Oryzias latipes: one gene and its partners. The protein of the gene in region 3 purifies or fractionates together with the protein of the main gene of each other region. This does not show direct contact. Links are inferred from orthologs where the notes say so. Each region holds a gene or a part of one and is shown on either strand. Other genes may lie near its edges.

Evidence for each region. The genes of interacting proteins can lie anywhere in the genome.
Region 1: the proteins of pym1 (region 3) and rbm8a purify together in Homo sapiens (co-immunoprecipitation; 11 studies listed by BioGRID and IntAct, counting the BioPlex papers as one, with this or other methods). This does not show direct contact. The link is inferred for Oryzias latipes from reciprocal best matches to the Homo sapiens genes PYM1 and RBM8A.
Region 2: the proteins of pym1 (region 3) and rps16 purify together in Homo sapiens (co-immunoprecipitation; 3 studies listed by BioGRID and IntAct, with this or other methods). This does not show direct contact. The link is inferred for Oryzias latipes from reciprocal best matches to the Homo sapiens genes PYM1 and RPS16.

Annotation. Positions count from the first base shown.
Region 1 is NC_019874.2:29,126,620-29,130,849, forward strand, and holds the start of rbm8a (RNA-binding protein 8A), read left to right. Parts: upstream 1-1,430; 5' UTR 1,431-1,438; coding exon 1,439-1,499; coding exon of another isoform or gene 1,500-1,505; intron 1,506-2,019; coding exon 2,020-2,079; intron 2,080-2,158; coding exon 2,159-2,236; intron 2,237-2,802; coding exon 2,803-2,939; intron 2,940-4,230.
Region 2 is NC_019881.2:19,224,423-19,228,409, reverse strand, and holds rps16 (40S ribosomal protein S16), read left to right. Parts: upstream 1-1,450; 5' UTR 1,451-1,526; intron 1,527-1,618; 5' UTR 1,619-1,622; coding exon 1,623-1,670; intron 1,671-2,126; coding exon 2,127-2,228; intron 2,229-2,574; coding exon 2,575-2,671; intron 2,672-2,747; coding exon 2,748-2,795; intron 2,796-3,302; coding exon 3,303-3,448; 3' UTR 3,449-3,487; downstream 3,488-3,987.
Region 3 is NC_019865.2:22,063,040-22,067,230, reverse strand, and holds the start of pym1 (partner of Y14 and mago), read left to right. Parts: upstream 1-1,391; 5' UTR 1,392-1,617; coding exon 1,618-1,648; intron 1,649-2,944; coding exon 2,945-3,038; intron 3,039-4,191. UniProt on the Homo sapiens protein: Key regulator of the exon junction complex (EJC), a multiprotein complex that associates immediately upstream of the exon-exon junction on mRNAs and serves as a positional landmark for the intron exon structure of genes and directs post-transcriptional processes in the cytoplasm such as mRNA export, nonsense-mediated mRNA decay (NMD) or translation.

The DNA.
Region 1 (4,230 bases), on a different chromosome or scaffold from region 3:
TTTTTTTTTAATCATTCCTCCTCCTGATAAAAAAATAGATGATGGTAAAAACTATTTCACCCAGAAAGCTGAAGTTCTGACTGTAGCAATGAAAATAATATTACAATTAATTAAGTAATGATTAATCTAATAAATATGTAAACAGTCGTGTAAATCACAAATATTGTATCAATCACAAATATAAACTTCTGTGAAACTCTTGAAGTTTGCAGACAACACTACAGTCAAATGCCTTACATGTGCAGTCATGCTCTTATTAGTAATAAAGATGATTCTGATTCTAAAACCTTGACATCAATATTAACACAGAATGTACTAATAATAATTATGATAGAAATTGCAACTCTAATATTAATAACAAGTATAGTCACAATTTTAATAATAGAAATGCTATCCCTTGCAGTATAATAAAGTATTTTAAATCATATTTTTGTTGTGTGAATGTTGACACTAATGTTTAAAACAAATGTATACATTTCTCATTGTTCTCATTATATCAGTGATGACACTAAATATAATACCAAGATAACAACAATTTTCAATTCTTGAAAATATATGGCATGGAAATTTTAACAATGCTATTAATAACAAATATATCATTAATTATATTGCATTAAATTGTCCACACTAAAGTATAAAAAATCATGATTATTTATTAATATCATGATTGAGTAAGTAAGTAAATTTTATTTGCATAGCACCTTTCACAGACAAAGATCACAGGTTAAAATATATATATATATATATATATATATATATATATATATATATACATATAAAAACATAAAAGATAAAAAGCACAAACCACGTAAAACAATCATCTCAAGCCCAATGAAAGCAGTTTCAGTTAAAATGCTTTGCAAAAATAAAAAGTTTTCATGATGATAAATGTAAATTATTTCATAAGGGATAAATTAGAAATCATGATTATTAAAACATAAATTATCGTTTAATATTATGCATTTTTACCAGTAACACATGTGATATTAATCATGAATATTATAATAAAACTCTGCACTAAAAATTAATAACAAAAATTTCATTTTCAAATAAAAACTCATTATTAATCTTATTATTATATTTGACTAATTTTATATTAATAAATGCAAATTTTCTTCATCTCCTATTTTTTCCCTGTGTTATTAATCAAACAAATTTAAATGTATCTCAGTAACATCTCCAAAAGTCTTAATCAGAAAGCTGCATGTTTGTATGAAAGTTGTTGAAATCTGAATGTTTTTTTTTATCTAAAACTCCTGTAATATGTATGCTACCCTGGCATATCTGAAGTTTACTTAGCAAAATTGTGTTTTGTATTAAACTTACTTACGTTTTGTACAATAAAGTTTAAAAAAAAATCTTTACGGAAGTTACGTACTCAGACTCTTTAGTGATTCTCCGTGCGCATGCGCTGTTCGTACTCAGTCAAACAGACATCATGGCGGACGTGTTGGACCTTCATGAGGCGGGAGGAGAAGACTTTCCTATGGATGAGGATGGTGACGGTATTGCGTTGTTTTACACAATTAGAGGCGGACGCACCGCAGTCCTGCCAGCCAAATAATGAAATTCAAATAGCCGCACGTGCGGTCAGAATCACGCTCAGCCCAGACTGCGTGTTTGTTAGCGGGCCGCAGCCGTGTTAGCATCCAGCTAACTCAACGAAAGGCGGTCATTCATCCACTTAGCGAGCCTCTCAGCGGGGGTGCAGCCGTCTGTGTTTGCGAGGGCCGCTTTTAAAATGTTAATTATTTAAACGGACTGTATTTTTCTCTGCACGTTAAAGCTGTTTTGTTTTCTATTAAGCTAGCGCTAGCATCCATGTTAGCCAACGGCTACATGCTGTTAGTGTTGCGCAGATGAGAGAAAAAACGTCGATTTAAAAATTGCACATTGTTCCTAAAAAAACAACCCAAAAACACATATAGTTACTCCATTTGAGAACTTCATAAACTAAACTCTTGTGAATTAAAGGAAACTGAAAACGGCGTCCTTAGGCTTTTATTCGTCTGTTTGCAGAAAGCATCCACAAGTTAAAGGAGAAAGCCAAGAAGAGGAAAGGACGAGGTTTTGGTGCAGGTGAGCTTTCAAAGCATTTTTCCCTTTATTTTTCTTGACTTCTTAGGGTTTGGTTTTGATTCTAAGTTTTTGATTCCAGATGATGGGGCCCGGTCCAGAGCCAAAGAGGACTATGATACTGTGGAACAGGACGGAGATGAGCCTGGGCCTCAGAGATGTAGGTGTTACAAGTGACCTTCATGTTCAGATAGAAGCAAATTAACAAGCTGTAGTCACACTTAGATTGTAAAAAATCTAAGATCTTTGTGTGTATTTTTTTTTATTTTATTTATTTAATTTGATTATAGAATAAATGGTCAATGTTGTGCTTTTCTACCTTTACTAAGCCACTAAGGGCTTGAAAGTCCCAGTCCCATGCACAGTCACAGCCTGTAACCCCCACGAGCGTTGTGGGGTTTAAGTGTCTTGCCCAAAAGACACGTCCACACATGGGCAGGCAAGGCAGGAACTGAACTTTTGATTGAAGGTCTACCTCTGCATCACAGCTGCAGATAACTAATTTAATTTAACCTAAAGTTCATTGTTTAAAAGTTATAAATCAGTTTCACGGCTGCGTTTTAATTTTGACCTATGCAAAAACTAAAAAACTGCTCTGAAACAATGCAGACTTTTACTTTTGAAACTGCGTGAATGCCAGCAGGTCAGGTAAACTCATCTGCTTGTCTTGGTGTGGAGACTGGGGGGTTTGGGTGTCTGATGCCCTGTTCCCTCCCCTCTCTGCAGCTGTAGAAGGCTGGATCCTGTTTGTGACGGGCGTGCACGAGGAGGCCACAGAGGAAGACATCCACGATAAGTTCTCAGAGTTTGGGGAAATCAAGAACCTCCATCTTAATCTGGATCGCAGAACTGGCTATCTGAAGGTGAGTTTAAACCATTTCCTTTTTCTTTGAACACATTTTGTATTTTAAAGACACAACATTTGGATGTCAAATGTTGCTTATGTTCCAATGAACATCTAAGCGGAAGAAGTGAATATTTGATCAACATTAAAAACAAGCATTTAGGCAGTAATTATCAGAGGGAAGGATGGAAGTCATCATATTAATGATGTGGAAGATTTCATTCAGTAGGATTTAATCATATATTTTATAATACTTGTAGAAAAGAAAGTTGGTTGCTAAAATAAGGCTGTTGTGTTCTCAGAACAGTTGCGTGAAGGGGTTAAGAGAGAGCCTGGACTGCCCTTTTGTAGCAGCACTTTAGTTTCTGTGAAGTGAAGCTGATATTTAAGAACAGTCGTATGAAAAACAAACTATTTCGGCTTTATTATTACTGAGGGATTTTCTTTCCGTCTTATTGGTGTTTGGCCGCCACTAAAGGCTAAAATGCTCAGTGTTGAGTCTTTGACTTTTCCACCAAAATAAAAGCTTTGGCATAATTCTGGTCTAACTGCACGACACAAAAATGGATGAGAAAAGCATTTGGGGGGCCGTGAGAAGAAGAGGGTTGACCTTTCTGCAGTTTGTTACTTCACGGTCTGCTCAGTGAAGGAGGAAACCGTCTGACATCTGCACTTTGTGATCAGAACTGTATTATAATAATTGTCAGATTTCAAAGGGTTGTTTTTCAGTTTTAAAACGAGTCTGAGGATACTTAAAGCCTGACTGTCACTGTATTTTCACTCAAAAAAAATATGTTTTTCTCTTTTGGTGCAGTGTTTTTCAACCAGTTTATAACTGGAAAAAAATTCCATTTCACCTAATTGGGCTAAAAAAATGTTTTCCGTTAGCAGGATATCAGTTCTGTGTTCATCCGAACAGACCCGGCTTTTCCACTGGAGTATTTAGAAATGTCTGCTTTGGTTTTATTGGTTTAGTTTAGTTTGTCATTTGCATTGTTTACCTAACATACAGTATAAACAATTAATTAAAAAAATAGGCAGAAGCATATGAAGCTTATTATATGCCTGTCCTTCAATGTCCAAGTTAATCAGTTTAACAAACCAAAAAGTAGGAAACAGTCCTTAATAAATGGAGACAAGTAAACAAAGTCCTTCTACATCTGTGTTTTGTAACCTTTAATATGTTTTAGACTTTTTTTCTTTTAACTGAGAATTACGTCATTTTAATTCATCGCTCAATTCCTTCCATTATTTCACGTCAAGAACTGAAACACATCTTGTCTTGACATTAGATCGAACATTAAACCTGT
Region 2 (3,987 bases), on a different chromosome or scaffold from region 3:
GTCAGGCATTGCCTAACCTTCAGTACTCCTACTGGGCCTGTCATTTACACATTATATCAGGATGGTTACACTCATTTTTGCATCAATCTGAACCGCATGTAGACAGTTGGTGTTATGAGCCTTTCCCACTACTGAGTCTATTATCCCTAGATCCAACTAAACTTCCAATGGGGATAAAGAACAACACTATTCTTATTGTTACACTTAGAATTTGGAACAGAATCAGGAATCAAATGGGTCGAAAAAACTTTTCCAGTGTGATGCAGCCTCTTATTAAAAACGTAGCATTCTCCACAGGCTTAGATTTTGGGATATTTAACAAATGGCATGATAAGGGTTTAAAACATGTCTGCAACTTTTTTGAAAAAGTTGTTTTTCTGTCTTTTGGACAAATTCAAGATAGATTCAGGATATCACGCCAAGATTTTTTAGGTTTCCTACAGGTGAGACACTTTGCTCGGACCTCCCTCTCTTTCCCAGGTGACCAACCAATCCTACACCCAGCAGAAAGTTTTCTTTTGAAAGTTAATGAAAATGCCACCTCCAAGAAGAAATTCCTTTCTCTCTTTCATGCACAATTAATGGCACTGACAAGTGGCTCACTAACAAGTGAGAGATCTAAGTATCGTTGGGAGACAGATTTGGGAATTGACCTTGATGTTGAAACTTGGTCAAATGCTTTTGTATCTGCTCAAAAGACGTTTACATGCAACAAACTCAGGGAAAACCAATATCGAAAATTTTACAGAACTCAATATACACCAGAGGTTTGTTTTGTGTTCTTTTCTTGAAAAGTTAATAAAGTATAATAAAAAATAAAAAAAACAACATTTGGAAACTAAAACGAGGAAAAAGCCACAGCAACTCCAAAATCTTTATCTTTTAAAGTGGATTTAATTTTTAACAAATATGATTACATTTCAAAATTTTTCGTTTTCTTTGAATACTGGTGTTAGAATGTAAAGACTTAAGTTTACTTTTTTTTTTAGCAATTTTAATTTGATTTCATTTAAAGCTTTTTTTCCCTTTTGTCCCTTTCACAAATATCTCCAAAACTAAGCTGTAAGTTGTAAACAAAATAACTCTCATTTTTTTCATTTACCTTTTACTATATGTGGCTAAATTTAACAATACTTTAATCTGTTTTCCAATCACCCCAGTTGAACCTTTTATTTTTGCGCTTTGTTTAGCCTATTTTCATACTACTAAATTTTAAAACACATAAAATAAAAACATATAAAAAGAAATAAGCACAAATATATATTATTCTTTTCAAAGTTCATTCTTTTGTAATTTATTTTTAACAAAAATCAAAATTACACACACATTTTTTCCATTTGGAACATTGAAGTAAAATCCAAAAACATGAAGCAGTATTAAAAATGTAAAATTATGAAGATTAGACGTGAGCGTGAACAACTGTCGAAAATCTTGCCGCAAATGAGCTTGGACTGCCGTAAACAACCCCTGATTCTCGGCGTGTGAGACCCCGTCGGCCTCTTCCTGCGGCATCCTAGTTGAAGGCGGTGTGTTTCGGAGACAGATCCCGACAAAATCACATTAAATATGCTCTTATAGTGTTTCTTAACTTTAAATTTTTGTTTTCTGTGTATTTCAGAAACATGCCAGCTAAAGGTCCTCTGCAGTCTGTCCAGGTGTTTGGACGTAAAGTAAGTAAAAATGTGGAGTTTATTACACGTGTGGTGTTGCTGGCTTCACTTCCATGCTAGCGAATGCTAGCTAAAGTTGCTAACGTAAAGAGGCCATAACCAAAAATATTACTGCTTTGTAATTGTGTGGCTTAAATGTTACGTATTAATGAACCAGTCAGACAGACGCGAACACCTTCTATTATTGATATGTTTTTTATTTTATTTTTTATTTACAACAATGTTCTTGTGGTTTGTTTAGTGGAGCTTTACATTAGCCCTTAGCTTAGCTAATTAGCTCTGCCCAAAATAACAGTTTAGTATTAAATCTGCTACAATACGGCACCACATTTGATATAATAGAATAGGTACACATCTATATGTTATGTTTACATAACATAATGTCGCTTGAGCTAATTTGTCAAAAAAAATATTGATAAATTGGCATTAAAATGAATGTATCTTTTTTTCTTATAGAAGACGGCCACAGCAGTTGCCCACTGCAAGAGGGGCAATGGCCTGATCAAGGTGAACGGCAGACCCCTGGAGATGGTGGAGCCTTCTACACTTCAGTACAAGGTTCTTATCTTGATTCCTTGAATTTTAGTGAAGTAGAAGGTGCGATGCCTTTATTTTGAAGTAACACTTAGGGACGTTGACGCTCTTTTAACGTCTAATCTACGTTGTAACTGCTAAATATGACCCAAAACGGTATTGTATGACATGATCGTAAAGGTTTTCCCATCATCTGTGTGATTAACCTCAAAAGTTTGTGTGTATTAACAAGTTATAGTAGTTTTAATGTTTTCTATCCCTTCAAACTAAGATAAAGTTTATCTTTCTAGTATTTTGTTTTGTTTGTTACTTTACAAGAATTTGCCTATAAATTGAGCAAATCCATTAACAAACTAGCTGTTGTGATCAGCTTCTGGAGCCAGTTCTGTTGTTGGGAAAGGAGCGTTTTGCTGGAGTTGACATCAGAGTCCGAGTGAAGGGGGGTGGACATGTCGCACAAGTCTATGGTAAGATCACAACACCACATGAAGTGTTAGCCTGTTGTTTCCCCAAATGTTTGACTTTTATCGTATTGTTTTACAGCCATCCGTCAGGCCATCTCTAAGGCTCTGGTTGCATACTACCAGAAGTGTAAGTTTTATTCTGTAAACAAACATCATAAAATGTCATATGTACAAACATTAAGCTAGTGTTTTATATGTTAAAGATCCATTAATGTTTCTTATAAGACAGAAAGACATTTGTATGCACAATTTATGCTCATTTAAATCTGGTTTATGCAAAGATCTCTGGGTAAAAATAAAGGCCGACTTTCCTTAGTGCTGGGCTGTACATTTACTCAGTGATTGACCAGAGTTGAAGGACTTTAAAAAGAAAAACACAAAGTCCTGATAGGAGAAGTTTGATCAACATTTAAGATTAAAGCTGCTTTTTGGTGTCAAAGGAAAAGTGATGACGCAGATTCTGCTTCACATCTATAAATCCATCCATGAACGGTGGGAAACCCTAAATGTGACCAAAAAGATCCATTAAAAAATGCAAAGAAGATGGAAACATATTCAGAAAAGTAGCAACAGCTGCCAGCTGATTGAGATATTTAAGGTTCTAATAATCTGAATGTTTTTTTTTCTTCTTCAGATGTTGATGAAGCCTCCAAGAAGGAGATCAAAGACATCCTGATCCAGTACGACCGGACCCTGCTGGTCGCTGATCCACGTCGCTGCGAGTCCAAGAAGTTCGGTGGACCTGGAGCTCGTGCCCGCTACCAGAAGTCCTACCGTTAATCGCTGTGTACATTTATGCAATAAACTGGATGAAAGAAGGATGTTGCTGTTGGAGTTTTGACTTTTAAAAAATGTTTTTACTATTCATCCCACGATCCTTCAAACGTAGATGTAGCTGTTAACCTGCCATGAACCTAAAAGCAAAGTCTTTTTAAAAGCTAAATTTTTGCTCTTTAATTTTATTTTCTTTGTGAATTTATTTCTTAAAAGATGATTTTAAACATTTTAAATAAAACTGCATGAATACTTTTGCTATTATTTAAGGATTTTCCTGGATTGACAAAGATTTTTAAAAAATGTGAGTGTGAAATGCAGCAGACAGACAGTTAAAAATGTAACTGATAGGAACAATGAAGTAAACTCCAATAACTATATGTCACCGAGGGGCAACCTTGGATAAAGATTTACATCCCATAGACACATCAACAATGTGAATGTATATTCCTTTTGCAATGCACACACAGGTAAATAGATGAATCTCAGAATTACTATGAAAAGATGTTTGCTAAAAGATACTTTCAGAGTCTTAAAGTAACTGG
Region 3 (4,191 bases):
AACAATGTAGTCGTTATTTTAACGAATAAACAAATAAATAAGCCCCCCTCCCCGAATTGCTACGGCCACATCCCCGTTTCTGCTTCAGACCTTTATTTGGGTAAAACCCCCCATTCCTTCTGAGCTCCTCCGTCCAGAGGTTACGTTACCGTTAGCATGCTAAACAATACGAACGCTAGCCTGACGCAGCGCAGTTTTCGCTCGTTATTTAACAAACGGGTTTAAAACTCGAGCGAAAAAAATGCGATACAGAGTGCAACACACATTACAGATGTTTCATAACAGCGTAAATAAACGAATGCAGTTTTTTCGGATACATTATTTAGCGCAGAGCTAGCTGGCTGCTCTGTTGGTCAGGGCTGGGATCAGACACTCAACTTTAGTGGAAAATAACAAAGATACTCCTTTATCTGCTGCGCTTTTATCCAGTTGCTTAAAACAGACAGTTTTGTATTGATTAGTTAAATACATAAATAAAATTAAATGAAATACCTACTTGATGCTGGCAACAAAGTCTACAGTAGCTTCTGGAAAAACGGTTACCGCAGATCCAACCGTCAGCCGTCTTTAATGCCAAGCAGACTGCTGCTGTGGCCAATTATTTTCCTCGACCAGGCCCCTTTGCGGTTGCCAGGTTGGGTTCACAAAATATTTTATTTTATTTTATTTTATTTTATTTTATTTTATTTTATTTTATTTTATTTTATTTTATTTTATTTTATTTTATTTTATTAAGATAACCTATGAAATGTACTCCCAACTTTTGATCTTAAATTTGTTTTTTAATTATATTTTTTCACTTGGCTCGTAATAGATTTCAGCTGAAAATAAAAATCATGGTTCTTTTATGTTATTCAACCATAAATAAATTAAGTATGAAAAGTAAAAAAAGTATAAAATAATACATAACCTATGATAAGTTTAAACAAAAATCAGTGACAGTGACATCTATTTTGTACGATGGTGGCATTAAATTTAATTTGGGGAGTTTATTTTTGTTTCATAGATGGTTCTATAAACTAACAAGCAAATTCTGGATGAAGAATTATAATCTAAGGTGTCCATTCCAGATAGGAGTGTGAAATGTATGCAGAACTCTCAATAAAATTCTATTTTTGAGCTCAAAAGTTTATTTGGGTTTTTTTCTTCTCAAAAACCTATTCCTATAGAAAAGACATCATTAAAAGAAGGTTTACAACTCTTTTAATTAATGATTCTGTCTGGATTATTTATTGCTAAAATTTACAAGTTTCATATTTCCTAAAACAGTTTATTTTATGTAAAATACTAACTGTATATGATAGAGCATCCAGCGTTAACAGTGACCCAGACGCTTCTCAAGCAATATCTGGCAACTCACGGTCCACGTCGTCATTTCCGAGGTAAAACACCAGGGTCCGCTCGATTTATCTCCTTGCTCCGCCAGCTACCTTTCTAGTTGTTTGAAAGGGCAGTCATGTTATCTCCCTTCCACTTTAGCCTCCTCTTTAGAACAAACTCGGAGCTAATGTTTGAAAACCTGTAGCTTTTTTGCTGCAAGGGATTAAATAGTGAGGGAACGTTTGGGGACGTAGGGTCCAATTGAGGGGAGCGAAGCAGCACATTTATTACACCAAAATGGCAACCCCCTATGTCACAGATGAATCTGGTAAGACAGTGGTGCAGGTGGCAAACCTATTTTAAAGCGAATCTAAATCCACTTTATTCACATATTTTACTCTCTTAGTTCAGCTTTTTTTTATTCTTTCATCAGCGGATCGATAGTTATTTTGCGCCATGCAGTCGACTCTACTAGTGTTTTGCTGTTTTAGCAGCTCATGTTGCTGCTAACTTAACATTTCTCATCGAGCGACAGTTAGCTTGTTGCTGTCGCTCTCGAGGTTTATTACATATAACTGAACGCTTTGTATAACCATTAGTGACTCAAAAGAAAGACTTTTGTGGCCACAGATGTGTTTTTGTTTGTTTTTAAAGCGTAGTTTTCGCCTTTATTTATGTGCAGTTATTTGCCTGATTCTGCATTAGCAGGCTAGCATTAGCATTGTCACTAATGTGACGAAAGCGACAGCAAACAAACTATGACGACATTTTACTACCGCTAGAGCTCCATCAAACCTATTATTTTTAAGCAAACCCCTTTATTTTTTCCTCTCTCTCTGCGTCTGTACATGAACGCATTGAGGTTCGCTGGATTCTAAATGAAAAAATAATTGCCTTTTCGTGTTCTGCTTCCAATTATAGTTTTAAATTGAGTTATTTTTTATTAGTATGTTTTTAGGGCTTTGTTAAGTGGCCTTTTATTTATAAGAAAACAAATGCAATTACTTTACCAAAAATAACTTTTATAAATAAAAATTTCCCTTGATATTATTCCTTTTTATGTATTAAATTAGGCGTCTACTACAACTACATATAGATATATATTACAACACAATTCTTTTATTGTAAAATTGTTTTTAGAAATAAATCTTTATTTCCCCCGCAAATCTTCCCCCTTGCAAATTATGCTATATTTAACTGCAGTTTTTTGTGGTAAGTTTGAAACATTTGAGATTGCTGCCCTCTGCTGGTTGAAATGGGTTTCCGTTACCATGGAGACGTGCCGTAAATTGTTACTTTAGGCTTGACGCAGAATAAGGAACCCACAGTCCTCATCTGACCTGTAAAACTTAACTAAGGACTTAAAAAAACAGATTATACACCTCAATGTAAATATTTTTTGTGGTTGGAGTTTCACATTTTTATTGGCCCTTGCAATTTAAAAAAAAAATCTTGCAAGTATTTTCAAGTTAATAAGCAATTTGGGTGCAAATCTGTATTGATTTTAGATGTAGATTTGAGAAACTGCAAAACATATGGACATAAGCTTTATGAGGCAATGCTTAAATGGAACTGGAGCTCTAAAGCAGAGCGAGTATCTGATGTTCTACCTACTGCTGTCCAGGAAAATACATTGCTGCTACCCAGCGTCCCGATGGAACATGGAGGAAGCCAAGACGGGTCAAAGAGGGTTACGTTCCCCAGGAGGAGGTCCCCGTGTAAGTGTATTTTCCCTAAAAGTGGCAGTCATGTTGACTGATTTCAGACCAAGCCAGAAACTGTCTCATACCAAGAGCTGATCATTTAGTGTAGGTTGATATGAGAATTTGTATTCAAGCTGCATATTTGATGCATAACTTGGTGGTTTAATGTAAGTAGCCTCTTGGAGAGACTAAAGTTCAATATATGGAGAGACATTGTTTCCCTAGATTTTATTAGATGTCTTAGCATTTATTCAAATAGACAAGAAACAAGAAATATTCCCTCCCCCATCATTTAAAGACACAGAAAAAGAAATGATCCTAAAAGCTTTTCCTAAATTTGTACTGATGTTTATACAGTAAAAAATGTAATGAAAATCTTCTCAAAATATCCTTAAAACTAATCTTTTTGAGTGTTTAAGCTAATGTAAAAAAGGGAGAATGTTTAAAGAAAGTAAATTGAAAAGAAATGGAAGAAATCTCATACATAACTCATTCCATTCATTGGTCAATTTTCAAAAAAGTCCTTATTTGTATATTTAAAAGCATTTTTTCAGGGAGATATTCCCATGTTGTGTTTGTTTGCAGTTGACATACTGTAAATACATCGCCAGTATTAACACAGATCATTTCGTTGACACTTTTTGTTTTTTTTATTATTTTATTTTATTTATTATTAAGTCTGAATGCTAGAAATGTTTTTCTCTATTCTCATCATTCCCACAGTCTTTATTTTTGTTTTTTTGCTTAAATCAAACAGTTTTTAAATGGTACATAATCAAACTCCCAACTAATAATTATAATAATAATAAAAAAAGATGTTTTGTTAGTTTTAAAATGTGAAGCTTCCTGCTTTCTGTTGGTTTCTTGCAGTGTTTAGTCGTGGTGCAGATGCTGAGTGTCTATGTCCATTTATGAATTCAATCTTAAGCAATCAATCAAACTATTCAGATGTGCTGGGATAGGTCAAAGACGTCAATCAGACTTAAAGAAGACATTCTCACTTTAGTGCAGACACACACAGCCTGTGCATAGTTTGCAAACTTCCAGTTTTCAGAGCAGAAGTCATTTGAATGTTGCACAGGCATTTCTAAGAGCACACCATAGGGATCCTGGTGCATTTGGGACTTTAAAAACTTTCCCTCTGTGGGCTTTTCCTCACATTTCATGG